Alligator mississippiensis: one gene and its partners. The protein of the gene in region 4 interacts with the protein of the main gene of each other region in a pairwise test. Links are inferred from orthologs where the notes say so. Each region holds a gene or a part of one and is shown on either strand. Other genes may lie near its edges. The genes, in order: HDAC7, EIF4EBP1, NGB and REL.

Region 1 (7,043 bases), on a different chromosome or scaffold from region 4:
CTAGTCCAACCCCCTGCTCCAAGCAGGACCAGCCCCAACTACATCATCCCAGCCAAGGCTTTGTCTAGCTGGGTCTTCAAAACCTCCAAGGATGGAGATGCCACCATCTCTCTGGGGAGCCTGTTCCAGTGCTTCACTACCCTCCTAATGAGACGGGTTTTTCTAATATCCAACCTCAGCTTCCCTTGCTGCAACGTGAGCCCATTGCTCCTTGTGCTGTCATCTGCCCCCACCGGGAACAGTCCAGCTTCATTCCTTTTGCACCCCCGCTGCAGGGAGTTGAAGCTACTGTTAAATCCCACCTTGGTCTTCTCTCCTGTGGATTCGGTACGCCCAGTTCCCTCGGCTTCTCCTCACAACTCATGTCCCCCAGCCCCTGAACGACTTCCTTTGCTGTCTGCTGGACTCTCTCCAAAGTGTCCACATCCTTTCTGTAGTGGGGGGCCCAAAACTGGACACAGGACTCCAGATGTGTCTTCTCCAGTGCTGAATAGAGAGGAAGAATCACTGCCCTCCATCTGCTGGCACCGCTCCTACCAATGCAGCCCAGGATGCCCCATCTCCTCCATCTGAGGTCTGCCCATCGCCATAGCTTCTGCGGTCTTCTCCATGCCCTTAGTGACCGTGGCATATCTGACCGCATCTGTTCCCATGTCCTTCAGGTTCTGGATGTGTTGCTTGCCGCACTGGTTGGGTCTGTATGTTCAGGCTATTTTGTTTCGGGGACAGCAGATTGTTCACGGTGACAGCCACGAGCCCTTAGCTCCGCTGACATAAGCTAGTCTTGTCTGTGCCAGGACTTCTTGGTGGATCCAGCCCTGCCCCGAGGAAGGGGGCTTTGCGCGGGACAGGCAGATGCTCGGAGCAGTCCCTTTTGGTCTCCCGGCTGCCTCTTTCAGGATGTTGCTGTGCTCTTTCCCACCCTTGGAGGTCGGGGCGTAGGAGCTGCGAGACCTCGGGTGCACCGGTTGGAGCAACTGAGTTTGCAAGGCCAGCGGAGGAGGGTGGGGAGCTGGGCGTGGGGCGGGTGCGGGCGCACCTGGGGACAGGGTGGAGGTGGGGAGTGACGGCACTGACGGAAGGCTTCCCAGGCTGCCTTCGACTTGGTGCTGGCCTAGCTCCATCTCTGCAGGATTTTATCCTGCCCCACCCTGGGGGAGGCAGAGGCAGGGCGGGTCCTCCGAGGCCTTGCAGACCTACACAGCGGCTCACCCCGCAGCTCTCCCCTGCCATCACCAGTGGGTGCCCGGATGGTGCTGGCCATGGGGGGAGACTTGCCATTTGGATTCTCCCCAGCCAAGGATGCCCGGTGCATGGCTCCTAGAGCAGCTCTGGGCTGCATGCACGTCCCGTGGCCGTCTCCAGGTAGCCTTGGGAGATTGAGCAGACGGGGCCATGCCGCCGCTGCTCTTCCAGAGCCAGGGTGAATGCCAGGGGGTTGGAGGAGCGTGGATGTGCCTGGCCTTGCCCAGAACTGAGCAGGCTCTTTCCAGAGACCCAAAGCAGGACTCTGGGGGTGCCACCACTCACAAAGCAAATGCAAAACCTTGTGGCTGATCTCTGGGCAGAGATCCCGGCGAGCTAAGCCAAGCACCCCTGGCTCAGTGAAGGGCAGAGGGCCAGGCGTGTTCAGCTCCAAGTGGCGTGGACGGCTTTCCTGACACCCTGCCAGTTCGTTCAGCGTCAGCACAACAGCTCTCACAGCCAGCGAGCGGGAGATCCCAGCTCAGCCACCCCAATCTCCCTTCAGGCCTCAGTGCAAGCCACGCAATTACCGTCTCCTTACACAATCAGCTTGCGTGATTTTTTTTTTTTTGTCGGGAGGACAGAATGGGTGGTTGAATGAGACTGTAGCAAAGCTGGGGCTGGAGAGGAGGTAGCTGGGCTGCTTTCCTCCAGGACGTCTGGGATTTTAGGATAGCATTTGACTCGGACCTTCTAGGATTCATGATGGAAAATGTCGTTACCTTGGCCAGGAGCTCTGGCACATCAATTCGGAGGCTTTCGTGGGTAATGTAGCTCATCTCCAGAGCACGTCGCCAGGTGTCTGAGCCACCGCCAGCTACTTGGAGTGTGGTCCAGCACTGATATTCGTCTGTAGGGAGGTAAAAGGATGCTAAAGGCCGGGGAGGTGCAAGGACCGGAGCAGGCAAGGTGCATTGTGTGGAGTGGATGGGCAGGGATTAGGAGCAGGTCTGGCTTGAAAGGATGGAGCTTGTGCATCCAGGAACAAGCCTGGGAGGGCAGGGAGGTCTGCCTAGCTCCATGTCTGCACCTCGTGCTGGGTCCTTGTTGGAAATGAGCAGTGCCTGGAGGTGTCTCCTTGCAGGACGTGAGGCAGGAAGGCCTCCAGAGGCTGCCGAAAGCTCTCGGCTTGCCATCTTCCTGCAGCTGCGTGGACCCTCCATTGGCCTCGGGAGCTTGGTTCCTTGCTGGGTCCGAAGACAGTAGAGACTCCCTAGCTGCCCAGGGCTCTGCATGGAGTAGACCCCCACCTCCACCAGTATCTGCATTGGTTTCTGTAGGGAGGGGAGAAAGAAGGGGCTCATAAGGCAGAAAGCATCCTGGAGCCCCGCGGTGCCTTTATCTCCCACAAGCTCACAAAAGAGGCAGAAGAACTGGAAACGGCGCTGAAAAGGGCATGGGTGGGCTTCCAGACCAGGTGAGACTCAATTAGGCTCAGAAAAAAAAAATAGACTTCTGGGGGAACATGATAGAGGATGATTCACCCACATCCAAAGGGGATTGGACCCATTTCCAGAGGAAAGGCCCGGGAGCAGGTATCCAACATGGTAGCGAAGGGCTGGCCCAGGAAATGACAGGTCTCCTGTTCTTACAGCTGGCCTGGCTCCGTGGGGAGAGGAGCGGTGCTCACGTGGAAGGAGGCGGGGATGCAACTCTGGAGTGGACCCTCGGGGAAGTGGAGGGAGCCCCCAGGGCTGAAATGGGGCTGGGGGGAGAAGCCGTGTTGCTCTTCTCCAGGTAGATGCAGGAGAAGATGGGGCGGGGGGGGGTGATCTCATGGGGATTTCCTGCTTCAGCGCTGGGACTTCAGATCAAAGCCTTCACGTAGGAAACTAATTCTTCCTTCCCCAAGCTCCTGGGATGGTCTAGTGGAGCGTGGCTGCCTGTATCCATTATGGAGCATCAAAGCTGCACCGTGGCCTGGGGAGTGGGAAGAGCATTCAGTGATGCATGCACGGGACAGGGGAGAGCCTGTATGGATTCCCCTAAATCTCGCCCCGCCAAAACGGGGGTGCTGGTGTGGGGAGGGGGGTGCTGGGTGTCTCCAGGCGCTGGGATCCACTGTGTGCCCTCTGGATTGGCTGTGTCTAGCTCTGCTAGATTTGGAGATGCCATCAGTGGCTGCGGTAGGAGTGGAAATGGTGCCCCCTCGTTACCCCATCCCTGGCACTGGCTCTTTGTCACCGCTCTATTCGCATAAGGAGGATGTGGGCTGGCTCGTGGACACGGGCCCCAGGCCTCACCCATGAGGCTGCAGCAGGGCAAGGATCCAGCTGGGGGATTTCGGAGCTGGAGATGGAGCTCGAATCTCCCAGAGCAAAGCGCCTCGTGGCAGGGGTGGGGGAGCTGCGCTCCCTCCCTGCCACCTCCAGCCAGCCTGGCTGCGTGCCCCAAACACAGGGAAGGCTTGATTGTAGCACAGTGTCCTGCCTCCTTGCTGCCCGCAGTTGTCTGCATCCGCCATGGGCCACGGAGTGAACCCTGCCTGGCGGAGCTGCAGCTCCCCTCCTACCCCCACCCGCCGGGAAGGGCTGAGCTAGAGCCGCAAGAATGTGCCCTGCCATATGGGTAACTTCTCCCAGCTGGAGACACAAACATTTGTTGCTGCAGCTGGAGTTGTGCGTCCCCGTCCCCCCCCCCCCCCCCCCCCAATCCTCCCGATTGCAACACCCAGGCTGTGTTCTCAATTGCTCTGCTGAAGTCGTCATGCCTTTCTCAACGCCCTGGAGAGGCCTGGAGAGAGTTGAAATGCCAGCCGAGAGAGGCACTGCGACTAGGGCGGTGTAGGGGAAGGGGATGTGCTATGGGGCAGGACGATGCAGGAAGCTCGGGGGTGTCTGGAAGAGCAGCTGTCGCATCCGCCTGGGCTGTGTTTGCAAGACCTCTGGGCTCTGGAGGGCGCATTGGCACGCTCTGCTCACTGGATTCCCCTCCTTCCATGGTGAGAGTCGTGCATGGGTCTGTGCATGCCAACTGTTCCCACGCTTATGTATGCTCACACGGGGTGGGCACGTGCCCACTGGTGACCCATGGGGTGGTGTGTGCTGTGGGGCAGAGGACTAGCTCTAGCATCCCACCTGGCTCGCAATGGGGCTTCTCTGTCTGCACCTGATGGTGCTTCCTAGTGTAAAGGCCTGCTCAGCCCCAGCTGATCTGGTAAAATCAGGGTGGAGGGCATGCATCTGTAAGGGGAGGTGGAGTTGTATCCATGCAGCCTGGTGTGAGTTGGGGGCAGGGGGGTGACTGTCCCCAGCTCCCGGTCCCTCTGTCCCAGGTAGAAGGTGGCACAGCGACCTCTCCGCTGTAACCGCCGGGGTAGCGGCAGAGCCGAGGCACAAGTGCAGGTCCCCTGATGCCAGATCCTCCTGTGCATACAAAGAGCAGCCAGGACCTCGGGCATCTGCAAGGGGAGCCGTGGTGGGGGTCAAGATACGTGGACCGTCCCAGTTGGAGCTGCCTCTTACCCTGCTTATGGGGTGCTGCCATCCAAGCATGGCCTGGGCAGCACCCCATAAGCCTTCTAGCTTGGGCCTGGAGCACAGAGGTGGAAGTGCGAGTGAGCACACAGAGGGAGGCCCGTGTCCGGTCCCCGCTGGTGTGCAGCCCCCTTCTGCTCTGGCCGGTATAGCCAAGCCAGGCCCCGCAGAGCTGAAGCCCTGGTGCCTTCCCTTGCTCCAGGGCTCTTTGTGCTGAGCAAACGGAGCGCCGCTGGATCCTGGCTCTCACTGCAAACCTCCCAGCTGGGCGGGGAGCCGGGCCAGCGCTTCGGTGAGCTCAGAGGCTCTCACGGAAAGACCAAGCTTGCGTCAAGCACCTCCGCTTCCAAGAAGGAGAGCTGGTGGGAGCCGCACCCTCCCTCCTGAGTCAGCAGGGTGACGGGCGGCCCCGGGGAAGGGGGCCCTGGATGCTTAGCTCGGCTTGGCCGTTCGGGGCCTGTTTGGAGGAGGCTGATTCGTTTGCTTTCACCGGTTGGAAACTTTCAGTGCAGGTTTCTGGGAGGCTGGGGATGCTAGGGTCTTGTTGTGAGCTCTGTCCCAGCTTGGTGACTGCTCCTGCCCCTGTCTCCTGCTGCTTGTAGCTTTGGGATGGCAGAGGGCAAGGGCAAGATCAGAGGCACTGGGGTTGGTGACTGGGCTCCTGTTAGGACTAAATCCTAGAGGGTCCTGGCGAGAGGGTCATGTGTCTCCACTTGGGCTCAGACCGATGCTTCATTGAGGATCAGGAAGGCGTTTGGCCCCTATGGTCAGATTGGTATGGACTGGGGTGGGGGCAGGGGTTTGTCTTTATAGCTGGGGCTTGGCCCTTTTCCCTGGATCGCACCGGTGCATTTTTAACACCCCTTGAAGCAGCAGGGCACGGCGAGTTCTCGTCCCCCTGCTTCACCTGCAGCGGTTTGGGGTGCTTTTGGTGTCTTTGGGCAACTGGCCTGGTAGGTATGTGATTTGTGCAGCTTTAGGATTAGACAGGGACTTGGTTTGGATGGGGATGTTTCTGCCTGGAGCAGAGTTGGCCCTGCTCTTCTACGATGCTGTGAAACCAGTCGCTGGGCAGGGGCTGTACCGATCCCTGCACAGGCGCTTGCCCTGGGTGCTGAGCTGTGGAAAGGCCAGTCCCCAGTGACTCGCGGCCTCTCCGCTCCGGCAGCCACCGGCCGCTGCCTGCATCGGGCTGAACCCGAGGCTAAGAGACCTTTCTGGGTGCCAGGACAGCCTGGCTGGGTTGGCGGCGGATGCTAGGCCAGGAAAGCCTGCAGGGCCCTGGCAGAAGCTGGCTGGCCCAGGGGAGCCCTCGTGGCTTGTGAGGCTGGGTTTCAGAGTCCCCAGCTCCTGGAGTCCTGGGATTGTGTGGGAATTGCGACTCATGGGCGAGCTGGCTTCCCGGGATAGCTCATTTATGCAAGCGTGGAGCCTTTCCAGCAGTGTTCCCCTCCTCCTGGTGCCCCTTTTGCTCCCTGCCACCCCAGCTGTGGGCCAGCTGTGCCCATGCTCGGCAAGGAAGGGCTCTGGGTCCATGGAGACAGCTCCCCATTCACCGTTTCCAGGAGAGGAAGGACAGCTCCAGCTTTCCCCTCTGGCTCCAGCAGGCGTGGGGGGGAAAGGAGAGTGTTGCAGCTGGACCTTTGCCATTGCACAAATATTTCTCTCCCAAGTGCTGACCAGCCCCACCCAGGTCACTGAGCCCATCCATCCGGGCCTGGATGTCCCCCACCCCCTCCAGCAGAAGAGCTGTTGAGGCTTGGCGGGGATAGCACGGCTTGGGGGAGCCTGTGGTCACGGGTGTGCAGGATGGGTTGAAGTCAGCCTCAGCCTGGAGCTGCTGGGAGCCCCTGGGCCGGGGCAGCAGGGCTCTGCAAGCTGGAGGAGGGCACAGGTTTGCACCCCTGCTATACATCTCCTGCTGTCCAGCAGTCGGAGGCCAGGCCCGCAGCCCACTGACTCGGAGAGCCCTTCCTAGAAAGCAGCATGGGAGAAACATCCCCTCTCCATGCTCTTGGAGTCTGCAGGCGACTCTCGGGGGTGCTATTAGAGTTGACCCCCTTGATCTAGGCTTGCCCTGCTTCTGTGGGATGGAGAAACGAGGCTTGGGGGCATTAGCTAAGTTGGTCTCCTCTCTCTGGGATGTCCTGCGTCCCGGCCGGGACATGCTGAATGCTCCAAACCCATGGGGTCAGGGTTATACCCCTGCGACCGCCCCAGCAGGTGGCCCGAGGCAGGCATGACCAGTGTCTGGTTTGCCTGGCGCGTGCACGGAGCAACCGCCTGATACAGAAGCAAGACTTGAGTTGGGGAAGACGTGTA
Region 2 (7,102 bases), on a different chromosome or scaffold from region 4:
ATTCAGCCTTGTCCCCCCTGTCCGTCACCAATTGCTTATGCCCATCTAGTAGAGGTCCTATTCCACCCTGGGCCTTCCTTCTACTCCCTATATATCTAAAAAACAATTTTTTATTATCCTTTACTTGGGATGCTATCCTCAGCTCCATGGTAGCTTTGGCCTTTCTAACTGCCTCCCTACAAGCGCGAGCAGAGGAGGTATACTCCTCTTTAGTAATCTCTCCCCGTTTCTACTTTTTATATGCCCCGCTTTTTGCCCGTAGGCTGCTCTGGATATCTCTGGTTAGCCAAGGAAGCCTCTTGGCCCCTTTCCCCCTTTTCCTCCACATCAGGATCATCTCCCTCTGTGCCCGAAGGATCATTTCCTTAAGGCACAGCCACCCTTCCTGGGCTCCCATCTCTTCAAAACTCTTACTCTGCAGTGCGTCCTTGACTAATCGCCTGAGTTCGTTGAAATCAGCTTTCCTAAAGTCTAGCACTTTCACCCTACTAGTTACCTTACCCACTCGATGTCTTATGGTGAATTCTATTATTTGGTGGTCACTGTCCCCCAGGTGACCACTGATCTGTAGGTCTCCTACCATGTCATCCCCCGTTGCCAATACCAGGTCCAGTAAGGCATTCCCCCTAGTGGGACCATATACCTCCTGCGTCAGATGGAGGTCCTGTACACAGGATAGGAACCTGCGTGAATGGTCGGACTTTGCTGTCTGCATCTCCCAGCAGATGTCTGGGTAGTTTAAGTCCCCCATGACTACCGCCTCCCTAGTTTTTATGGTCTCTGAGAGCTGCCTCAGGAGCCCTGAATCTAGTTCTTCACCTTGGTGTGGGGGTCTGTAGCAGACCCCTACCACCAAGTCCCTTTCTCCTTGACCTCCATGTAACCTAACCAACAATTCTTCTACTTTCTCCTCCTCTGATTCAGTTTTGATAAGGGTCGATGTATATCGGTCATTGACATAGAGCACCACCCCTCCCCCTCCCTTCCCCACTCTATCCTTTCTGTACAGCTTATATCCCTCAATGTGTACCGCCCAGTAGTGGGACGAATCCCACCAGGTTTCTGTTAGCCCTACTAAGTCATAGGTGTTTTCTGCAAGCAGGAGTGCTAGTTCATCCTGCTTGCTCCCCATGCTCCTAGCATTAGTGTATAGGCACTTGAGCCCTGTGACTGGTGCCTTTATTGCCCCCCGGCTCTGATACCCAAAGGGCCCCTTATTGCTTACCTGTGCTGTATTGCTGGCCGCCCCATGGATTGCAGGTTCCTGATGTTCTCCTTCTTCAGGCTGGACTGTTCTTGTGGGTGCCACATGGTTTGGTGGTCCACGGCTTCCCCCGCACTCATCTTCCCCTCCCCCCGACGAGCCTAGTTTAAAGCCCACCGGAGGAGATCCGCCAACCTAGAAGAGAACACATGCTTACCTTTGGGGGACAGGTGAAGCCCATCTCAACTGAGCATGTCTCTCATCATGATGTGCGGAGCAAGCCCCAAGCACTCAGCAGAGACCGGCTCTTGTATCGGCTCCTAGAGTTAGGCTCAGGAAGCAAATCTAGGAAAGCAAAATCTAGGAAAGCACATTTCCAAACTGAGGAGTAAGGAGCCAAGTACGGAGCCACAGACCCTGTCTTGCTTTCCCCCCCTCAGTGCCCTAGACCAGACTTCTGCCATCCCCCTAGCCCACCAGATCTGACTCCGTGGGTCTGTGAGAGCACGTGTGGCTGCTCTGGGGTTTGTATGAAAAGAAAGGGCTTGCTGGCAATTGCCACCTGCCTGTTTGCTTAGCAGTCTCCTCAGGCTGAGGAGGCACAGCCTGAGTGCAAGGAGAGAAGATAAACAGAGTTTGCCCTAGGTCCATGTGAGCAGGAGAGAGTGAGAGCAAACAGGCTGAAGGGCCATTTAAGGCAAAACTGCTTGTCCAAGGCTCAGGAACAGCACAGAGCAAACTGTTGATTAATGCTGGTGACAGAGCCAGCGCCTGGCTCCAATGTCAGCCTTATTTCTACCTCCTCATCCTGGCTGGCTAGCTCACCGGGCCTGCTGGTGAAACCCCTCAGGAGCCAGCTCAGCACCCCACAGGGGTACAGGAGGGACGGTCCAGCGGGGAGGGTGTGAGATGGGGCTCATCTCCTTGCCACCAACTTCCCATCTGTCTTTTCCACATTCTCCAAAGCACCCCAAAAAGTGCTGAGCCCCAACCCCTCTATTCTCAATGGGGCCAAGCCCCTTCCAAAGGGGAGGGGGCTTCTTTTTATCATATACATATATCTCTATATGTACATGTACGTATATAGCTATATACAGAGAGAGAGAAAGGGATGTATAGGTGTATAAAGATAGATATATATGTGCATAGCGATATCTCTATAGATAGACATATATCTCTATACACATATATATCTATAAATCTATACACATATGCATCTCTATATATCTATATACGTATAGATATATCTCTAGATGTAGCTGTATCTATACTGAGAATATATCTATATAGAGATATTAGATATATAGATCTATACATATATATATATATAGAGAGAGAGAGAGAGAGAGAGAGAGATTTGGTCCCTCAAGGCTCTGTCCTTGGACCTATATTATTCAACATCTTCATTAACAATGTGGACACTGGAGTCAGAAGCGGACTGGCCAAGTTTGCCGATGAGTCCAAACTCTGGGGTAAAGCATCCACACCTGAGGACAGGAGGGGGATCCAGGCTGACCTTGACAGGCTCAGTAAATGGGCAGATGAGAACCTGATGGTGTTTAACACCGAAAATGCAAGGTTCTCCACCTTGGGAGGAAAAACCCGCAGCATCCCTATATGCTCAGCAGTGCTACGCTGACTAGCACTACAGATGAAAGGGACTTGGGTGTCACGATTGACCACAAGATGAACATGAGCCTGCAATGCAATGCTGCGGCTAGTAAAGCGAGCAAAATGCTGGCTTGCATCCATAGATGCTTCTTGAGCAAATCCCGGGACGTCGTTCTCCTGTTGTACTCAGCCTTGGTGAGGCCGCAGCTGGAGTACTGCGTCCAGTTTTGGGCTCCACAATTCAAAAAGGATGTGGAGAAGCTTGAGAGAGTCCAGAGGACAGCCACGCGCATGATCAGACCTTGTGACAACAGGCTTGAGAACCTGGAAAAGCGCAGGCTCAGGGGTGATCTGGTGGCCACCTATAAGTTTATCAGGGGTGACCACCAGTATCTGGGGGAAGGTTTGTTCATCAGAGTGCTCCAAGTGATGACAAGGTCAAATGGTTATAAACTCCTGCAAGACTGTTTCAGGCTGGACATAAGGAAGAACTTCTTTACTGTCCGAGCCCCCAAGGTCTGGAACAGCCTGCCGCCGGAGGTGATTCAGCCACCTACATTGAACGCCTTCAAGAGACATTTGGATGTTTATCTTGCTGGGATCCTGTGACCCCAGCTGACTTCCTGCCCTTCGGGCGGGGGGCTGGACTCGATGATCTTCCAAGGTTCCTTCCAGCCCGAATGTCTATGAAATCTATGAAATCTCTGTATCTGTATAGATACATATAGATCTATACATGTAGATCTATATAGAGATTTATATCTATGTAGAGAGATACATGGATATATAGATCTATACATATAGATCTATATAGAGAGATTTATATCTGTGTAGATACATGGATATATAGATCTATGCATATAGATATATATAGAGAGATTTATATCTGTGTAGATACATGGATATATAGATCTATGCATATAGATATATATAGAGAGATTTATATCTGTGTAGAGAGATACATGGATATATAGATCTATATATATAGACATACATAAAGAGAGATATATATCTATATGTAGAGAGATATATAGATATCTCTCTATATCGATATTTCTCTATACATATAGATATACAAATACAGATCTATCTACATCCATATATTTATCTCTCTCTCTAGATATACACACATCTACACAGATCTATAGATCTATATCCAGCCACACACACGCAGTGGGCGGGGCCTCAGGAAGGGGGCGTGCCTTCCCCTGCCGCGCTCCCGTGGTGCCCCGCGCTCAGGGCGGGCCGGAAGTGCGTGTGGTTCCGGGTCGGAGGGCGCGGGCGGGCGGACGGACGGTCGGGTGCTGTAGCCGCCGCCGCCATGGCCGTGCCGGGGAGCTGCCTCCCGGGGCAGACGCCGAGCCGGGACATCCCCGCGCCCTCCGGCGCCCCGCGGCTCCCTCCCGGCAACTACAGCAGCACGCCCGGCGGCACCGTGTTCGGCACCACGCCCGGCGGTGAGCGCCGCGCCGCGCCGCCCTCCGCCCCACACGTGTCCCCCCCGGGCGGGCGGGCGGGCGGGCCAGCTCGGGCCTGGGCAGGGCAGCCGTGAGCACGGCTGGCGGAGTGTTTCTCAGTCCCCGTCCCGTGGGCTTGGCAGAGCGGGGGGACGGGGGCGGCGCATCCAAATGGCTGTAACAATAAGTCGGTGCCCGCGCCGCAACGCTCTGCGCTGTGCTGCGGCGACACGGCACGCGTGACTGGTGCCTCCCGTGGGGCACCCCCGGGCGGAGGGGCCCAAGTGTAGCGGGGGCACAAGCACTCTCCATGCCCCCCCCCCCCCGACTAGCCGGAGCGCTCGCTGTCAGAGGGGCCATGTGTCCCCTTCCCCCCCCACCCCGACGTGACACGGGCTCCGGTTGCTCTAAGTAGAGTTGGTCCCGGGGCTGCTGTGAGCATTGGGGCACCTTATGCTGTAATAACTGGGTTGGAGTCGTAGACAGCGAGGGCGGAAGGGACCTCAAGGGGTCACCTCTAGGCCACCCCCCTGCTCCAAGCAGGACCAGCCCCAGCTACATCATCCCAGCCAGGGCTAAAAAAACTTGCACAGATGGTGACTCCGCCACCTCTCTGGGTAACGTGGTCCAGGGCTTCGCCACCCTCTTAGTGAGATTTTTTCCCCCCTAATATCCAACTTCGGCGTCCCTTGCTGCAACTCGAGCCCGCTGCTCCTTGTTCTGTCATCCGCCCCCACTGAAAGCAGCCCGGCTCCAAGGCTAGTTGAGCTGCTTTGGTGATTCTTTGGGCAGAGCGACCTGCTGGCACCCGTCTCTTTTGCAGGTACGGGTGGCTGTCGGCTCACAGGGGGCTCATCCACCCTTTTTAACAGCTCTTGTTTCAAGTCCTGCTGGGTGTCCGTACATCTTCCTCACCTGGGCCGGTCACCAGTGGCCCCACCATGGAACAGGCTGTGCTGGTTTACATGGTACCAGACAGCAGAGGAAGAGAGGCCTGGCCTGATGGGAATTTCACATTATTACAGCTGTTTGGACACATTGTCCCTTTCCCTCTGCTTTGCCACGCTGTTGAGAGAGCGTAAATGCTGTGCAGCGTAGCTACCGATGGAACACGCTGTAAGTGAGAATGCTGGCTGATGGGAAGTTGCTAATTCAGCAAGGGATCAAAGACAATCAGGGAATTAAACTGCTGAAAGGAGTAGTGATTCAAAAACACTGAAGTAGCGGGGCAGTGGGGCACTGACTTCCCTTTTTTAAGCGATGGTCTGGGAAGGTGAGCATATGAAAATACACCTGCAGTTCTTTTTTTATGAGAAAGTATATAGAGAATTAAAACACTTTGTCACGTATTAATGTGCTTGGCTGCTTGTTGCCCTCCCTTTTATTGTGGCCGGTGGCTGCCACGTGTATTTTCTCATGCCTGCTACTCTGGCATTAGAAATGCTTGGGATTTTGGCATTTCTCTGCTTAGTTCATTGGCAGCTGAGTCTAAAATATACGTTTTCAAAGTATCACCAGAAATGAACCAGGCTGCAGGCTGGGCTGAATGGAATGAATGCTATTAGAGCCCTTGATGCAGTGGAGTCTCGCTGACCTTCCTTGTGCTAATCCGGAAACCTGCTGGTTCTTGCTAAATGCTGCCTTGCCACGCTGTGTCATGAGCTTTCTGTGATGGCGAGTGTGCTAGTTCACTATCTGGTTTTCAGCATCGCTTGTTTGTTTGGCTTGATAAACCCTTGTTCTTTTGAAAGCATGTAACACACTGTTCCAGTCCCCTGGCCAAGGCGCTGAAGTACTGTGAGCAGTAAATTATGTTGCTCTTGTCAAAATAAAGGGCCCACTGAAATTTGCCATGCAAAACCCTTGAATAATGTGCATAGGCAGCTCTTGTGCACCTCAGCTTCCCTGGTAGCTCCACTGATTTCAGTGGCACTGGGTACTGAAATGTGACATTTTGGGTTTATTGCTAGATGCTGAAATATACTGAAGCCCTCCTTGGACAGTGAGCACATTTAGTCTGGGGCAGAGGGAGCTTGGAATGTTTTCTGGTGCTTTGGGAGTTTCTTTTCCCTGGATTTACAACAGTTTTACCTGCTTCTGTTCTGCGTGGTTCTGATAAGTTAGGCAGTTCAGCGTGCTTTGTTCCCCTGCTGTTTCACTTGCAGGGGAACAAATAATAGTAGAATGCAGGCAAAGGCCAAGGGCATGCCTGTGAATCATCTCAGGATGGTAGTGGAACGGAGTTGCTCAGGCAGTCATATGACAGTTAGATGCGTTTTGTTTTCTTGGAAAAAATCTGTCACCCTCATTCTGTAGCAGTGTCGACATGAGGAGTGGGGGTGTTGGTTGGTTGTGATTGAAGCAGTTCTTTAAAGCCGTAGGCTAGGGAAGGCTTGTGGGTGTCAGCACCTGCAGGCTCTGGGGAGGAAGCCTGAAATGAAGGCTGAAGATGGGAATGGTGAAGTATGCTTGTTCAGGTGCTGGATATTGCAGGGTTGTTTTTTACTGCCCTCCTTCCCCAACTCCAGTTTTAGGGAGACTCACCTGCATTCGACTTAAAAGATGAGCGTTTTATTGATGAACTAGCCCCAAGGTGACTCCCAAAGAGCTGTATCCCAGAGCTGCACTGCTTGTGCCCCTTGCACATGATATTGGCTGTAGCTTGCTGCCCTGGGTGAGGTCTGGGGAGCCCTTTCCTGCCCTGCAGCATTCAGGCACAGGCTGGGGGCCGCTAGACATGCCGAAGGATTCAAAGGCATCTTCTCAGCACTGTTAGCTTATCCTCCTGGCTCTGTGAGCCCCTTGGAGCTAGGTATGGAGTCTCCTGTAG
Region 3 (7,697 bases), on a different chromosome or scaffold from region 4:
TCCAGGAACTCAGGGGAAGAGAGGCATTCTTGTGGGCTGGAAAACTGTCTACAGTTGTACTGGAAGAGGGACAGGAGGTCAGGATCCAGATCAAACAACCTTCAAGAGAAAGGAGAAAACTTCAAATATTTCACACTTCTCAAATGACAACCATTCCTTAACATTGCCCCCATCTATCATTCCCCACCCCTCATTCCATCCAGCCGTGATGTTACAAACATGGAGTTCTGAGAGGGAGATTTGCCATGGTCTGGGGGTCATCTGCCTAAAACTGTTTCTGTTACTTTAGCCCAAGTCCCCAGTCCTCACTGCTACAACACTATTCCAGGAGACAGGTCAGCCCAGTGTTAACTCCAGGGCACTGTTGAAATCCTTTGCTTGACTCCATCTTCCATGAAATCCTAGTCCCTGTCCTAACACTTCCATCTCAACTCTTGCTGTTCCCTGTTTTTTATGATACTCCCTAATCTCAATTTTCTCAAATTCAGAGGAGGCCAGAATATTGCAGCCAGATGAGATTCCTACTTTCACAAGCAGGGTCATAAAACTGGAATCCCTCACATGTTTGTTGGCTCCCAATCCAAACCCCTTCTGCCAACTTTTTCACCATAGGACATTGCTTCCCAAAGTTTGGGACCAACAGACCACTGATCCCCGATGGTTCTTATTGACCATAATGTGCCCTTACCAAACTTTTAATTATAATGGAAAGGGGGTGATCCACAGACCACTGTCCATGCCTTATAAACAACCAGTGATCTATGGATCAGTTTGGGGTTCTTTAGAACATGGCATCTCACCTGTTTAACTCGCACACTGGTCCAGCAAGCAAAAAATCAAGAGGATCTGATAGACTGATGCCATCCATGGCAGTCTATGGCAATTCATAAAACCACACAGAGGGCACATCTACACGAGATGCTTTACAGCACAACAGGCTAATTTTCTGTGCAATAAAGCATCACCATCTACATATGCACAGAAATTAGGGCACAATAGACTAATTTACTGTGCTGCTGGATAGTCCCATCAGCTACAAGTGGTATCTGGCAGTGCAATAAATTACTGCACTTAAATGCATGTGTAGATGCTGACATCAGGATTAGTTTACTCCAGCTCAAATTGAGCTGAAGTATTTTTAGTTGCATTAATTGCACTTGTAGATGCACCTAGAGTGATCAGTTTGCAATGGTTCTAGTCTCCTAGGTATCAACATCATCAGAGAGACTTAACATGAGATTGCAACATCCCTCACCCCTTCACCAAAACTTTTAAATGTCTCCTTAAATAGTTCCTTTCCTTCGGCTCTATCAAGCACGGCTTGTTTTCCAGATATTTGCATTTGCAATCTGCCTTTCAGATTTGGCTGTGGAAAAGCCAAGAGCTTCTCACAAACTTTTAGAGCCATTGCTTTTCAAGGACTTTTCAAGCACTTCCCTCCGTCCCTCCACTTTTCTGCCACTTAATTGAAGGGTTAATTCAGTGGAAGAGGCAGCAAATTTTCAGTTGCACTCCCCCATGCACTATTTCCCCCTCTTTGAGATTGATCCTGGAAATTAACTGTTCCTTTCTCAAGTGGCCAGCTCTCTGCCTCAGCAATGTGACAATTAGGAAGCTACTTAGATACACTCCACAGAGTTGAGTGGATGCACAAGGATCAAAGTAGGTTTTAAACAACAGAATTTCCTCTCCTAAGAACAAGGGAAATCACTGCAAAGAAATGCACAAAAGCACACACTCCACATACCTTCCCCTCCCCTCCCTTTTAACAAAGTTCTAGATTTAAATGCTAAGGAGCTTCTTTGGAAATCTGTTCTCTCTGCTCTGCAAATCACAGCAAATGGACAGAAGGAGCAGGCAGCAGGAGATAAGTGATGGAGCCATGAAAAAAGAAATCATTTCAGAAGGGAGGGGAAGTGTTTCTTTTCAGAGAATGCAAACCTTCCTTTGCCTTACCCAGGGATGGGGGGGGGGGGGGAAGAAGACCTGATAAATACCACAGCAAGCATTGGCACCAGGTTTTTCCTCCCTCTGTCCAAGTTGCCCTGCTACAGAAACTGCCTGTTGCTATAATAACCCATCACTTACCTGGTAAACAAGATGATGCCATGCTGCAGGGGGTTGCCACTCACTTTCTGCCAGCTTTCTCGTATCAGTGCCTGTTCAGTGCTGGATAATTTTTCACTCTCCATCTTACTTGAAGAACAGGAGGGGGAAAAAAGCAGAGACAGGGGAAGCTTCTGCTTCCTCTGAAAGTAGTTGCATTTGCTCACTCTGAGTTACAGGTGTCACAGGTCCTGAATTAATCCAAGCATGGAAGGCCACCAGTGCCTCTGGACCTGGGATCCACACCCCCCCCCCCCCCACTCGCTCCTCTAAGTGCCAAGGATGCTCTTCCTTGCACAGTACTCAAGACTTTGTGATCACATCTCTGGGATCCCCAGACAGTGCAAGAGCCATTTTTTTTCCCCTTGATCCTCCCACCTCCTGCCTGGGAGCAGTGCAGGTGGACTTACAAAGAGCCCCTGTCTGAGCAATCAGATGAAACCTGAGTGCCTTGGGGGAGATCCATCTTGCTTCTTGGTGTCTACAGGAATGATGGGCTGGTCACTGTTGCTTTCTAATCCCCCTTGCTGTATGGCTACAGCAAGTTTATCAGTGTCTCTGTGCCCTCTTCCCACTGGGCACTAACTGTGCTCCTGATTTGTTCCCTGTCTCACTCCCTGTCACACACAGGCTCAAAGATCTGGAGCTGAAGCTCCTTTCCCCTTATTAGCAGCACTTTCCCAGCTGGCCGTCTCGCAGAGCAGCTTCCAGTAGCAACACTTTCACGGATGCTCTTAAAGCGACAGTGTCCCCTTTCTCCCCGTTTCTTCCAGTGAGCTTTTTAAAGCTGGGTAACAAACAATACTTTTGCACTTTGCTACATTCTCCCATAAGTAAGGAGCCACCACACACCTTCAGTGTCAAATGGCTTAACCCAATTTTGGCTGAAATTTTCCAGTCAGTTCAATTTTACAGATGAAGGAACAGACACAGAAGAAAAACAACTTGCCTAACATCGGGCAATAAATTAGTGGCAGGACCAAGCTAGAAACCTCACTCTTTCAGCTTTCAGTCCTGATTTCTACTTGTTAGAGTGCAGCTTGCCCTCATACAATATTTTCAACAGTGTCCTCTTGGTCCCAGTCACCCGCACTGACACTCCCAAACCTTTACATCTCTGGGTGCAGGTGCAATCTAGGGTTTAGTGTGTACAAAGGGAACATCATCACATGTTTAATTTAATAGAAGCATAGCCAATTGTACAAGGCAAAGCATTTAATAATGGATCACAAGGCTTTTGGACTACATCAAACAAATTCAAAGCGCTCAGGTTCTTTCTGCTACTCAGATGAAGTGAAAACTCTCCTTTTCAAATGGCTCAATGATTCAGACAGCATCAAGACAAGCTGGGGGAGGGGAGGACAGAGAGAGACAGAGCGTGTTCTGTGTTAAGAGCTCAGAAGGAAGAAGAATGGAAAAATATGGACAGGTAACAGAATAATCATTTAAGGAAGGATTTTCAAAAGCAACCTAAGTGACTTCTGAGAACAAGTCCTATTGACATCATTGCAATCTTCTTTAAGATAATAGGCATATGGTCCGTTTAAGCCTATAATATCAGCTATATGAGGTTCAGCTGTTCCTGTTAGATAAGAAGGTATTCTGAGGCTACAACGCCTGTACAATACATTTATCATAGGATATATGTGGTCATAGTCAATGTTGGTGCATCATTTTAAGAGGAAAGTCAGTTCTTGTCCTCTCCTAGCCTAACATTGGCTTCAGTGGAGTTGGAACTTGGCCTTTAAAGGCTCTTGGAGCCAGCATTACCTTTATGGTTTGCTGTACATCGTCGCTGCATTAAAACCCACAGCACTATTAGGGACAGAGCTCAGCAACTGCTGTTCCAGATGCACAGGCCCCTACAATCTCAGCCTGAAGAGAATGCTCCTTTGGTGTTAGCCAGGAAGGATCTGGGTCACTCAGTTGAGCGGTTTCAGTCCTGTCCAATTGGAGAGACTGAGCTCACACACTAACTCAGCTCAGTATTCATGAAATCTGGTCTTACTGACCACTGGGAATTATAAAGGGAAGTGAAGCAGCTCAGGTTGAAAGAATAGGATATTCCAAAAATCAGCTGCACTCCAGGCTCCTTCAGTCCCTATTAATCTCTTTTTAGCAGCTAAGGGTCATATTCTTTCTGGAATCACCAAGACAAGAAACACAGGATGCTGCCTAGTGTTGACAACATAAAGGTTAACATTTAACTCTTCTGAGTCTCACCAAAATACACTAGAAAGCAGCAAGAACATTGTATGAGAATCTACATGAAGTATTCCGCATAGCATTTACTTTGATGCTATGAGCGTGTGGAGACTGTATTGTTAGCAGAACTTGGGGAAATATTGCCAATCTTCTTCTACCCCAATTTGCCTCTGCTGTAATGAGAAAGGAGAACCTGGTTGTAAACTAGAGGCACTTTGGCAGAACCTACTAGAGGAGAGTAAGGCACTTCAGTGGTACAGAGGGAGGAAGGAAATTTATAGGATTTGAACAGGAGACAGATAACGCACCAGACTAGATATTTTCCTAGCCACATTTCGGGTGGACTGAAAGCTGGGTGTTAAGAGAAAGCAGAAAAAAAGAGTTTGTAATAGCCAAGGTGAGAGACAATCAGTACCTTTTTGAATAGACAGGGAAGAAGGAAGCTGGAATGCTGCAAGGGAAAGATAGGTGAAATGTGGGGAGATTTGATAGTTTTTGCTAGAGTTTGTTAGTATCAGGGACATCGCCATTGGGACATGAGCACGCACCACGTCAGGGAGGCTCCTTACTAACAATCTGGCCAATTTCTTCCCAGATAGATGATCATATGCAGATTCATCAGCTGCAAATTAAGCAATGATGCAAAGGTCATGAAATGAGAAGCAATGCAACTTGCCATAGACTCCCCATGCGACTGCCCAATGCAGCATAAAAGGATAGCGCCCTGGAGTCACACAGAGCACTTAGAGCATTTTCTCTATGCAGACAAAAGCCAAAATAAACAACTAATGGCTACATATAAACCACTGAGAATATTCAGCCTCTTCTCTCACATGCCTACATTGGACTGCTCATCTGAGATGAAGGGCAGTGCTCAGGACACATTCTAGTGGGAGATCCACCAGACCAGCTGGGACTAGCTGCCCCCTACTTACCTGGTGGCAGGCTCAGGAGAGAGGCCAAGGCTTAGCATAATTTAACCTTCCCCTTAGTGATGGCCCCTCCAAGGCCATGTCCCTGCCACTACCCAAGCTATATCTGTGCTGTGGAATCAGAAAAAAATAAATGCCTTAAACTTTGATCATTTGAGTTATAAGATGACATAACCGCTTTGTGGAGAATTGCTGGCTCGGTACAGTAGAACAGACAAGGGCAAGTGTTTGTTCTTTGTAACTCCTCTGCAACTGCTTCGCTCACTGCGGCCTTGAAGATAGCAAAAAGTATGTCCAACTCTGATTTCCAGGTGCAAGCAGGGAGTGATATTTCTCCCTTGTCTCCTCCATAATTCTCATCCTGATAACAGCAAAAAAGTAACGAAGTCATGTTTATAGCTGCTTTTCTAGCTAATTTCACTATATGATCACGTGAGTTGTAAGCGACTGTTAAAAAGTATATAAGCCTCCTGATTTTGCTCTTGGGGGGGGACCCCTTCCAAGTGCTTGGGAAATCCATGTCACTTTGGAACTCCCCCTACAGCTGTAGTTTCTTTTGAATAAAAGCTTCTGCTGACCTGACCCAAAAGTATGCTGCGTGTGTTTCCACAACAGTGCTATAGGAGTAACAGAGAATGCCAGTCTCTAGCACTGCCACATTGGCATCTTCCAGCACTACATTTACTTCCTGTTTTAATTAAAAAGCAAATTATCTCTCCACAAGAGAAACCAAACCCCAGCCTAAAAAATGAACCTGCAAAAAGGCTGAAGTTGGAGGGAGCTCAAGGAGAAACATTTGAAACCTGGAAGTGATGTGTATTCCTCCAGCTGCTGGGAGTGAGGGCTCAAGAGGAGTTTGAAATGGCAGGGCTCTCACCTGCATATAAAGCAGCCTCTCCTGCACAGCTATTCCATTGTCAGAGGAGCTCCTTCTGCTGCCACGGTGCTGGAGGTGCTGACAGCATGCTAAGGGGCTGAGGAGGGTTTTAATAAAAAAAACTATATTGTGCTTTTCATTCAGATGCTCAGTGAGCCTTCCAGCATGGAGAACCATGAACCTAGGTTAGATATTGGGAAAAACTTTCTCCCTAGGAGAGTAGTAAAGCACTGGAACAGGTTATTTGGAGAGGTTGTGAAATCTCCATCGTTGGAGGTTTTTAAGACCTGGCTAGACAAAGCTTTGGTTGGGATGATATAGTTGAGAATGGTTCTGCTTGAACTAGACGACCTCCTAAGGTCCCTTCCAACCCACATTTTCTATGAAAACACCAAAGGAGCCATCATGCTGACCAACAACACTATGTAGGTACAGCCTTCCTGCCCCTGTGATCTCATCTCACCCAGCCCCCATAGCTCCATTTTCTCAGAGCTCAGCCTGGCTGTATTATCTGCTTGGGTGCTGCAGTACATCAGATGGGCCTGTTTGGGGACAAAGATGTCCAGCTGAGACCAGCTCCTACCACATTTCAGCAGTGCACAGAGGGAGGAAAGGGAATTTCCAGTGAATCCCTGTGGTCTGCATAGAGCAGTATGATGGACAGCAAAATCATCTAATTTTTCAGACAAAGTAGCCAAACACCTTCAAAACGATAGAAATATGTTGCATGTCAACAGCCCCATAGATTGCCTTGCAAACATTACTCTCCCTTGTGAATACCACCTCTACTTGCCTGACAGAGAAACAAGCAGAGAGTTGGGATAGTGACTTGCCCACAGTCACAGAGTGAGGTTTGCATCAGAACTAGGACTAAAGCCATAAATGTTGACGTTTGGTCCTGTGCTCAGATCACCTCCTTCCTCATTCAGGCACTGAATTTTCCTGGCCTTGGGGCCAATTCTGTTTTCTTGATATGCTGTAACAGCTTGAGTTCTCATCTTTGTTGCTGCACTTTCCAAGTAATGAAAACAAATCCCCCTTCAGACTCTTTTTTAATTTCAAATTCATCTTCTGCAGGTCCTCATGAATAACCAAACTCCTCCAGGCTCTCAGTTCACCTCAGAGTCTGCTTCCTGGGCTAGACTCGTTCTTTCTCTCCAGTCTGTCTGTGTTATAAACTAAACACCATGACTGCTTCCCTCCATCCTCAGGTAGAAACACAGCTTATGAAATGTTTCGGCTTCTCATCTCTGCTCCCCCCCCCAGGCCATAATGTGCCACAGCTCAGTAGCAAAGCAAATTGCAAATGCAGTTGCATAACAAGTGAAAGAGATGTAGACGTGAATAATTGCACACACAAATGGTAAGGGCAATAGCTTCAGACTTTTCTGCCTGCCACTGTGCCCTTGGGGAGCAGGATGGCAGTGCTGCCAACCTTGAAGATTTAAGCCACAGCATGGGGATTAAAAGCAGAGCAAAGAAGAAAATGTGTTGTCTTTAGCTGCTCAATATCCAAGGGTTCTTCCTGTAGCTCACGGGGCCCTGACGAGATGAGAGGCTTGTATAAACAACCGAGG
Region 4 (7,236 bases):
AAGTTTGATATGTCATAAGCCATATAAAGTAAATAATGGAAGCAAATGCTGACTGCTCAGCTGACCATAAGGAAGAAGGCTCTTTACCATGCCCTGCAAAGTGCTGATGCAAAAAATGCAGCTGTGCCTGCAAAGAACCTTCAGGAATTAGATGATCTGCCTTTTACAATATTTGTGGCTCACAAGCACATGGTACAGAGAGGGAAAGAGAAATATTGTGTGTGCATGCCATTCATCTCACACTGATGATTTGTATTGTATCTGGAGAGGCCTAGTCAGATTTCAGAGGTAAGCATGGGGAAAGATGAAATGAAGAACCAGAGGAAGGTGGCTGTGACATACTATATGTGTTTCAATACACCTGGAGGGAAAACAACTGGCTTCTATTTCCAGCTGTTTCCAACTAGCAAAGCCAGAGATCCTTTTGAGGCAGGCTATGAAGATGTTATGTAGCAAGACTGGTAATTCTTACATGGCTCTTAGGGATGTTGTCTGGATATGTGCTCTGCACCAAAATCTGAAGTATGAGAAAAAGGTAGAGGTGGGCCAGGGAGTGATGGGAGCGTGACCACAGTGGCTCCACAACATGAATCACTATCCAGAATGCCCATGAAGTGAGGTATATGCAGCAGACACTATGGTGGCACTGCTGAGAAAATTCTGGCTGTCCAACTCACATGATAGTGATCTGTTCAGAGCCTCTGAGCCAACTCTTCCAAGCTGAGCACCCCAAAAAAATGAGAGGCCGTTCAGAAAAGTCAGATATTATATTCTAAGTATTTGCAGCTCTCTGAAGGGTAGGGGCCTAGGCAGACAATTCAGAGGTAACATGTCTATTACAAAATATTTGCCTACAACCTGAAATAAGTGCAAATATCCTCTTAATTTAGAAAAGAGTAATCCCCTACCTAAGTCTTCAGGACCTGCGTAGCACTCTAAGCAAAACTGCTTTGCACACTTCCTCTTTGTTATCATGTGACATTACAGAATAGTAACAAAAAGTCAGTAAATACTAGGAAGTTAAGAGCTTCCTCTGCTGAAAAATTCCTTTGCCAGTTAGTTGCCAATATGTTGAAAATCTATTCAGCACTGATAACAGAGAGATAGATATCTCCTGCTTCAGCTTACCCGCTTTAAAATACAATATCAAATTTGAAAGGGCACAGGCTCAATAATTTTATTTATCTGACTATAAGCCAACATTTAGAAAAGCAGATCAAGCACATGCACTAGCAATGGCTGACTTAACACGCAGATCACAAAGCAGATACAGGTTAGACAACATTTTTCTTGAGGACAGCAACTACTCTTAATTAATGCAACCACCTCTAAAATGGATTTTTTTTTTTAATTTCTATGAAAGATGCAAGATCAAAAGCTTTTCTTAGATAAAAATTAATTGCATTATGTCTGCTGATTCCTGTTTGCCTGCTCCATTTATGTTTATTACATTGTTGTTGTGGCAGCTCTCCCTCTCTCACTTCTTTCTCAATATCCTCTTCTAATGTGAACAGCATTCATCAGCTGAACATCAGACAGGTCTTAGACAACTGGTAATCACCCCAGATCTGAAACTTATATGTACATTTGGCTCTTTTAATTTAATTTCCGCTTGTTTTTTAAGTTTAAATGAGCCATTCTGAAAGTGATCAGTCTTAGCTCTAAATTCACATTTTCTAATGTTTGTTCACTATCTATTTTGTTAAAACCAAATAAAGTAAATATTTGGACAAGTGTTTACTACTGTTCCTAAAATCATGATTGTAGATTTTAACAATAGTACTTTAAGTAGCAGAAAAATAAAAACAAGCAGGCCAACAGATTTTCAGAAGTGACTAGTGATTTGGGGCTACCAATCAGTTATCAATTTAACGTAACTTATAGGAAGCCTTAGAACCTAGCCCCTGAAAATCAGTTCCCTTTAAAAAAGTGTCTCAGCTTGGACACCTAAATATTAAAGCATCCAAACCACAAGTCAGTTTATAAAATGCGTGCACAATGGCAGCTTCTCATAGCTTAGCAGATTTACTAGTCTAGGTGTACCCTACACACACACTGCGGGGCTGGGGACAGTGGGTCAGGAGTGAGGGGCAGTGGGTCAGGACTGGCCACTGGTGTTTACAAATGGGTCCTGATACAAAAGAGGTTGAGAACCACTGCTTAAATGCACAGTTATAGTCCTGAGCCTCTGACTACAAATAGGCAAGACATGCCAGGGGCTGTCCAGCAGAACAGCAATTTTTCATTTAAAAAGTGAAGGTTTGGTTGATATATGGGAGCATGCCTTAGAAGGCAAATATACCAACCACAGCAGGAAAAGATACCAATCCATGCCACAACAGCAGAGAAGGATTTGGGCATCATAACAGGTAACCAAGTTGCCTAAAACAAGTGCCTATATTTAGCCACCATGTATGCAATGGAAATTACACTGCCTTTAACGAAGATGCAGATTATAAATGGATTGTTTGAACTTATTTCATGCTTTTTCCTGCAGAGCTAAGTCAGGAGCTTTGAGCTGAAAAGCACCATCAAAGTGAGGGTGGAGGAAGTCCTTCTCCACATTCTCGTGGGGGGGATGCGCATGAAAACCCGATCGGGAACCACTGCTCCAAGTGAAGTGAGCATCAGCTCAGGAAAGCCTGTGTTACACAGCCAGAGATGAGAGAGCCACCGACACAATGTCGGTATCTCTAAGGGACAGATCCGTCCTGCCCTGTTACAGGAAGGGACCCGCTCACCTGGGCTCCATTTGGTACGCACATACATACACACAGAGCTTTCCATGTCCGCTACACACACCCATGTCTACTACACACACACGGCCACTCTACGCGCACGCGCCTCCATTACCCCCCCGTGCCCACTGCCCCGCGGTGCCCGGCCGCACTCACCCGCCATGGCGCTAGCCCTCGCACGCGGCCCGCTGCTTGCTGCTGCCCGGGGACTCGGGCTCGGCCGCGGGTCCCTGTGCAGCTGCCGGCCCGGTCCGGCCCAGCCCGGCCGTCCCGCCCCCGCAGCTTGGCCCCGCCCCGCCCCGCGCGGGAATTTCCCCGCCAGTGACGCGCGCCAGGGCTGGCCGCCGCGCTCTGCTCGTCCCCGCCCCCGCCCTGCCCCTGGCGAGGCGCGGCGGCGTCTCTCCGCCCGAGACACGCGCGGCCAGTCGGCCGCCCCCGGCCCGGGACACCTCCTGCTCTGTGGGGGAGGCTCTGGCTCGTCTGAACAGGTGGAGACTGGAGGGTTTCACTTACCTGCCAACCTGCACAAGGGCAGAGAAGGCCACTGTCTTCACCCGCCTGAAGGACCTAAGCCAGGGACTAGCGCGGAATTTGAAGGGAAGGGAGAATTTCTCTGTCTCTGCCTGACACACATGCACACACACCGAACTGCAGTTTAATATGCATTATACACACAGGATGAACTGCACACACACACACTGCAGTTTAACATGCATCGTACACACAGGATGAACACACACACACTGCAGTTTAACATGGATCACAACTGTAGTTTAACATGCATCGTACACACACAGGATGAACTGCACACATGCACACACACGGCCTGAAGTTTAACATGCATTGCACACACAGTGAACTGCAGTTTAACATGCATCACACATGCCAGATGAACTGCACGTACACAAGCTGCAGTTTAACATGCATCACACACACACACACACACACACACATAGAGGATGAACTACACATGCACATACAGTGAACTGCAGTTTCACATTCATCTCACACCCACAGGATGAATTACACACGCACACACACTGCAGTTTAACATGCAGCTGTGGGAGTTATTGGCTGAGGAGTTGCACAGTTTTGTTCTCCGTCCATCCTTTCCACCAGTTAGCTAAATGCAAGACTAACAGCACATTCATGGTCAGTTGGACAAAGCTGACTTACAACACCCTAGAAACAAAAGGCAGGATTCAAAAAGATTTGACTTTTCGTTCCACTTTGTACCAATTTAACATTCAAAAGAGGGGAAATATCACATCGTTTCCTAGACCAGTGGTACTCAAAGGATGTACTGTGGAAGCAGCAAAAGTGTGTGCTAAAAATGGGTTGGGTGGGGCTCTGGCTTCATCAGCACCACATACAGGATTGGACCCACAGACTGGATCTGGCCCACAGACTGGTGAGTGAAGTGTGCTGCCAATTTTAATCCAGAAAAAAAGTGTGTCCCAGGTATCAAGCTTGGGAAACACTATACTAGTCACTAGCCAAAACCTATTGGCCTGCTAGCCAAGACCTAGTGACCAGCCCAGAATTTAAATGAGTTATCATAAGTCTAATGTCAAAAGTTACACATTTCTGAACATCAACTATTGCTAGCTTATGTCAGGCCCAGCCTGTGGTACAGGATACAGCACTGCTGGCATCTATATTTCATTGTTTCATCCTTTTCCCTTATAACAACTAGAGTTTACAGAGGAACCTGTTTCCTCGGGTGCTTGTCAATGTAAAAATTCCCATTAAAACTCATAAGTGAAGCCAATGGCCCTCCTAAGGCACTTGGGGATGTGTAGAATACCCAACAAATGTCCTAATCCTCATGAATGTAGTGGATGCTGTCTACTAAGGCCTCTGGAGACTCACAGAAAGGGAAATGCCCTCCCACACCCCAATTTCTTTCCTGAACCTAAACATTGTGTTCACTCTTCTCCTCTCTTGGCTCTCCTGATATTCTCTTCTTCATTTGTGACAGGCAAATTGAACTATAATGAACCCATGAGATTAATTTGGCAGAAAAGATAGGGAAGTATTCTGTACCCCCTTCCCTTCTTCAACTTTGAACTGTTCCTGACCATTTCCTTCCCTGCTTGATTCCTTCAACTGTTGGTAGTTCCCTTCTGTGCCACAGCAAGGCATCTGCTTTGCTCCCTATAACTCTCTACGACTTCCAAAGACCCAGGTCTGCCTGTCAGCTGTTCCTCCTCAAAGACTGAGTCCTCAGACTCAAAAAAGATATAAGGGAGTAGTTCATGGCTTCTTGGCCTCTTGTGGGCTAAGGTCAACTGGGGGCATCTGAATCCCAAGACCTCTGGCTTTGGGCCTGCACGTAGGATACCTGCCAATGGATTTGGGAGTATCTGAAGTCCCAGGGTGAGAGCCTGCGACGGAGGATGCTCACTGGTTGTAGCCTCATACATGATGTATAAAACGATTGAGTTTTGCCTGCTCAGTTGATATGGTTTTTGGAACAATTGAGGGATACTTAATCAATATAATTTGGCTAATTTGACCTGAAACACAGAATATATTAATAATGATAATAAAAAAGTAAGCTCTACATATTGTGGAAACAATTATGTCAATGGTAAATATAATCAGTCAAAGCAAAGATGAGCAAATTGCAGTGGCAAATTCATCAATTTGCCTGAGCTACAAATAGCCATTCAACTTACCAAGTTATTCAGAGAAAATGCAATCAAATTTGTCTCTACTTTTGCTTTTTTATATTTTTTTAAGTTACTGTATGACTGGGGTATGCATTTCCTGCAGTCATTAATAACATGACGCATGCACTGCCCATCGTAGTTTCTTTTGAACTGGAGTGTTTGCTACAGTTCACTTTGGGGTGTATGTTATTGTGGCTCTTTGGTTAAACACTGTCTGCACATGTGGCTCCTAGGCTATGTCACTGATTTAAACCTATGCAAAACTCAGGGAATTTGGGGCCCACACCTCCAGCTGGGTGTGAAATTCACCACTTGACCCTATTGCAATGAGAAGCTGAAAAGGACCACTGAACATGAGCATCCCTTGAACTTTGTAAAAATCCAGTTTGAAATCAGATGTGGGCATAAATCCTGAGCGGGTCTGGACAAACAGTAAAATAACTGTGAAGGCATGAACATGAAGGAGCTTACACCCAGCTGACAGGTGCATCCTTGTGGTATAAGACAATGCACTGGACCGGCAGCAAGATTTTGTTCTGATTTTTTAAATCTTTTTATTGAGAAGATTAGCACACTCTTAACTAGTATTTCCTGAGAGAGATACTGTTCACATTTTAGCACTTTATTTATTATTCTTGCTACATTGTAGGTCACATCAAACGAATTAATTTGCTTACACAAGGTCTGAATTTGGTCCCATGCCTCTCCCGATGATAACAGATTAAAGTTAGGATATTTGGACAGAAAAATAGGGTTATAGTGTCTTACTCTTATTGCAATACATTGAACCATTAGATACTGTCTACTCTACTCTAGACAGTGTCTCCTGGCTCCTAGTCTACTATAGACAGTATCTCCAACATACTGCAATAGAGTAAGACATTACAACCCTATTTTTCTGCCCAAGTATCCAAATTTACAGATATCCAATGTCACAAGTATGTAAAATAAGATGTTTCCTTTTAATATGATTATACATGTTTAAAAATTAAAAGTAGAATTTATAGTTTTCTGTCTCAAGGCTGTTTTTTTAATCTGTCATAAGGATTTTTATCATAAGGATTTCATGGTATAAACTGGAATATAGTTTCATTGCTTCTATAGAGCTCCTACTGTTTACAAATGCGGAGAATCTGGCCAAGAATGTCATATATTTTGTATTTTTGTCATTATAAGCGTAGTAGAATTCATTATCCTGATGCCATGTGTTCTACAGGTTGATTTGCTAAACTGAAGCAGGAATGCATGTTTTACATTTTCCCTCCCATAAAATCATACATCAAAGTTTGTCTAGCACTTTTTATTAAACTTTCCCCTAATATTAAAGTTAGAACTGGCTTCTAATGTGTTCAGGGAGCACTTTGATTCTTACATGACTGCTATTATAGAAATGATGGACAAAAGTAAATTTGTCATGGAATCACTGCATTTTTGAGGTTGTAATTTTAATCCAAGTCCTATTTAATATTTGGTTTCCAATATTTTATCCACCTCCTACATGCATATACAACCCCTTACGCCCCAGAAAAAACATGTAGCACACTACTGAGATGGTACATTGCTCTCAGAGATGGTAGGCTAGACCTGGTGTCAAAGTAGGCTTTGCTATTAAATGTAAATCGATTGGATTAAGCTCCAGAATTAGAACACATTAAAAGAAGAGCTATTCAGAGTAAAAAAGTGGTTTATAATGCTTTCTTATTCAACATTTTTTTAGTTTGTTTATTTACAAAAAACCCAGAAAACAGTGGGTTAGAACCTGGGCTTCTCTTAGCTTGAAATTCTGAGTTCAACACCAAAGTTAATAGTGTGGACAGACAAAG

What was found.
Region 1: the proteins of REL (region 4) and HDAC7 interact in binary tests that used the Homo sapiens proteins (3 or more experiments, as listed by UniProt). The two-hybrid records come from large-scale screens. The link is inferred for Alligator mississippiensis from reciprocal best matches to the Homo sapiens genes REL and HDAC7.
Region 2: the proteins of REL (region 4) and EIF4EBP1 interact in binary tests that used the Homo sapiens proteins (3 or more experiments, as listed by UniProt). The two-hybrid records come from large-scale screens. The link is inferred for Alligator mississippiensis from reciprocal best matches to the Homo sapiens genes REL and EIF4EBP1.
Region 3: the proteins of REL (region 4) and NGB interact in binary tests that used the Homo sapiens proteins (3 or more experiments, as listed by UniProt). The two-hybrid records come from large-scale screens. The link is inferred for Alligator mississippiensis from reciprocal best matches to the Homo sapiens genes REL and NGB.

Annotation. Positions count from the first base shown.
Region 1 is NC_081838.1:7,634,929-7,641,971, forward strand, and holds the start of HDAC7 (histone deacetylase 7), read left to right. Parts: upstream 1-4,026; 5' UTR 4,027-4,041; coding exon 4,042-4,186; intron 4,187-7,043. UniProt on the Homo sapiens protein: Responsible for the deacetylation of lysine residues on the N-terminal part of the core histones (H2A, H2B, H3 and H4).
Region 2 is NC_081830.1:18,438,442-18,445,543, forward strand, and holds the start of EIF4EBP1 (eukaryotic translation initiation factor 4E-binding protein 1), read left to right. Parts: upstream 1-4,080; 5' UTR 4,081-4,136; coding exon 4,137-4,272; intron 4,273-7,102. UniProt on the Homo sapiens protein: Repressor of translation initiation that regulates EIF4E activity by preventing its assembly into the eIF4F complex: hypophosphorylated form competes with EIF4G1/EIF4G3 and strongly binds to EIF4E, leading to repress translation.
Region 3 is NC_081825.1:262,953,025-262,960,721, forward strand, and holds the start of NGB (neuroglobin), read right to left. Parts: upstream 3,003-7,697; 5' UTR 2,573-3,002; coding exon 2,517-2,572; intron 2,197-2,516; coding exon 2,089-2,196; intron 100-2,088; coding exon 1-99. UniProt on the Homo sapiens protein: Monomeric globin with a bis-histidyl six-coordinate heme-iron atom through which it can bind dioxygen, carbon monoxide and nitric oxide.
Region 4 is NC_081824.1:211,732,070-211,739,305, reverse strand, and holds the start of REL (proto-oncogene c-Rel), read right to left. Parts: upstream 3,022-7,236; 5' UTR 2,902-3,021; coding exon 2,895-2,901; intron 1-2,894. UniProt on the Homo sapiens protein: Proto-oncogene that may play a role in differentiation and lymphopoiesis.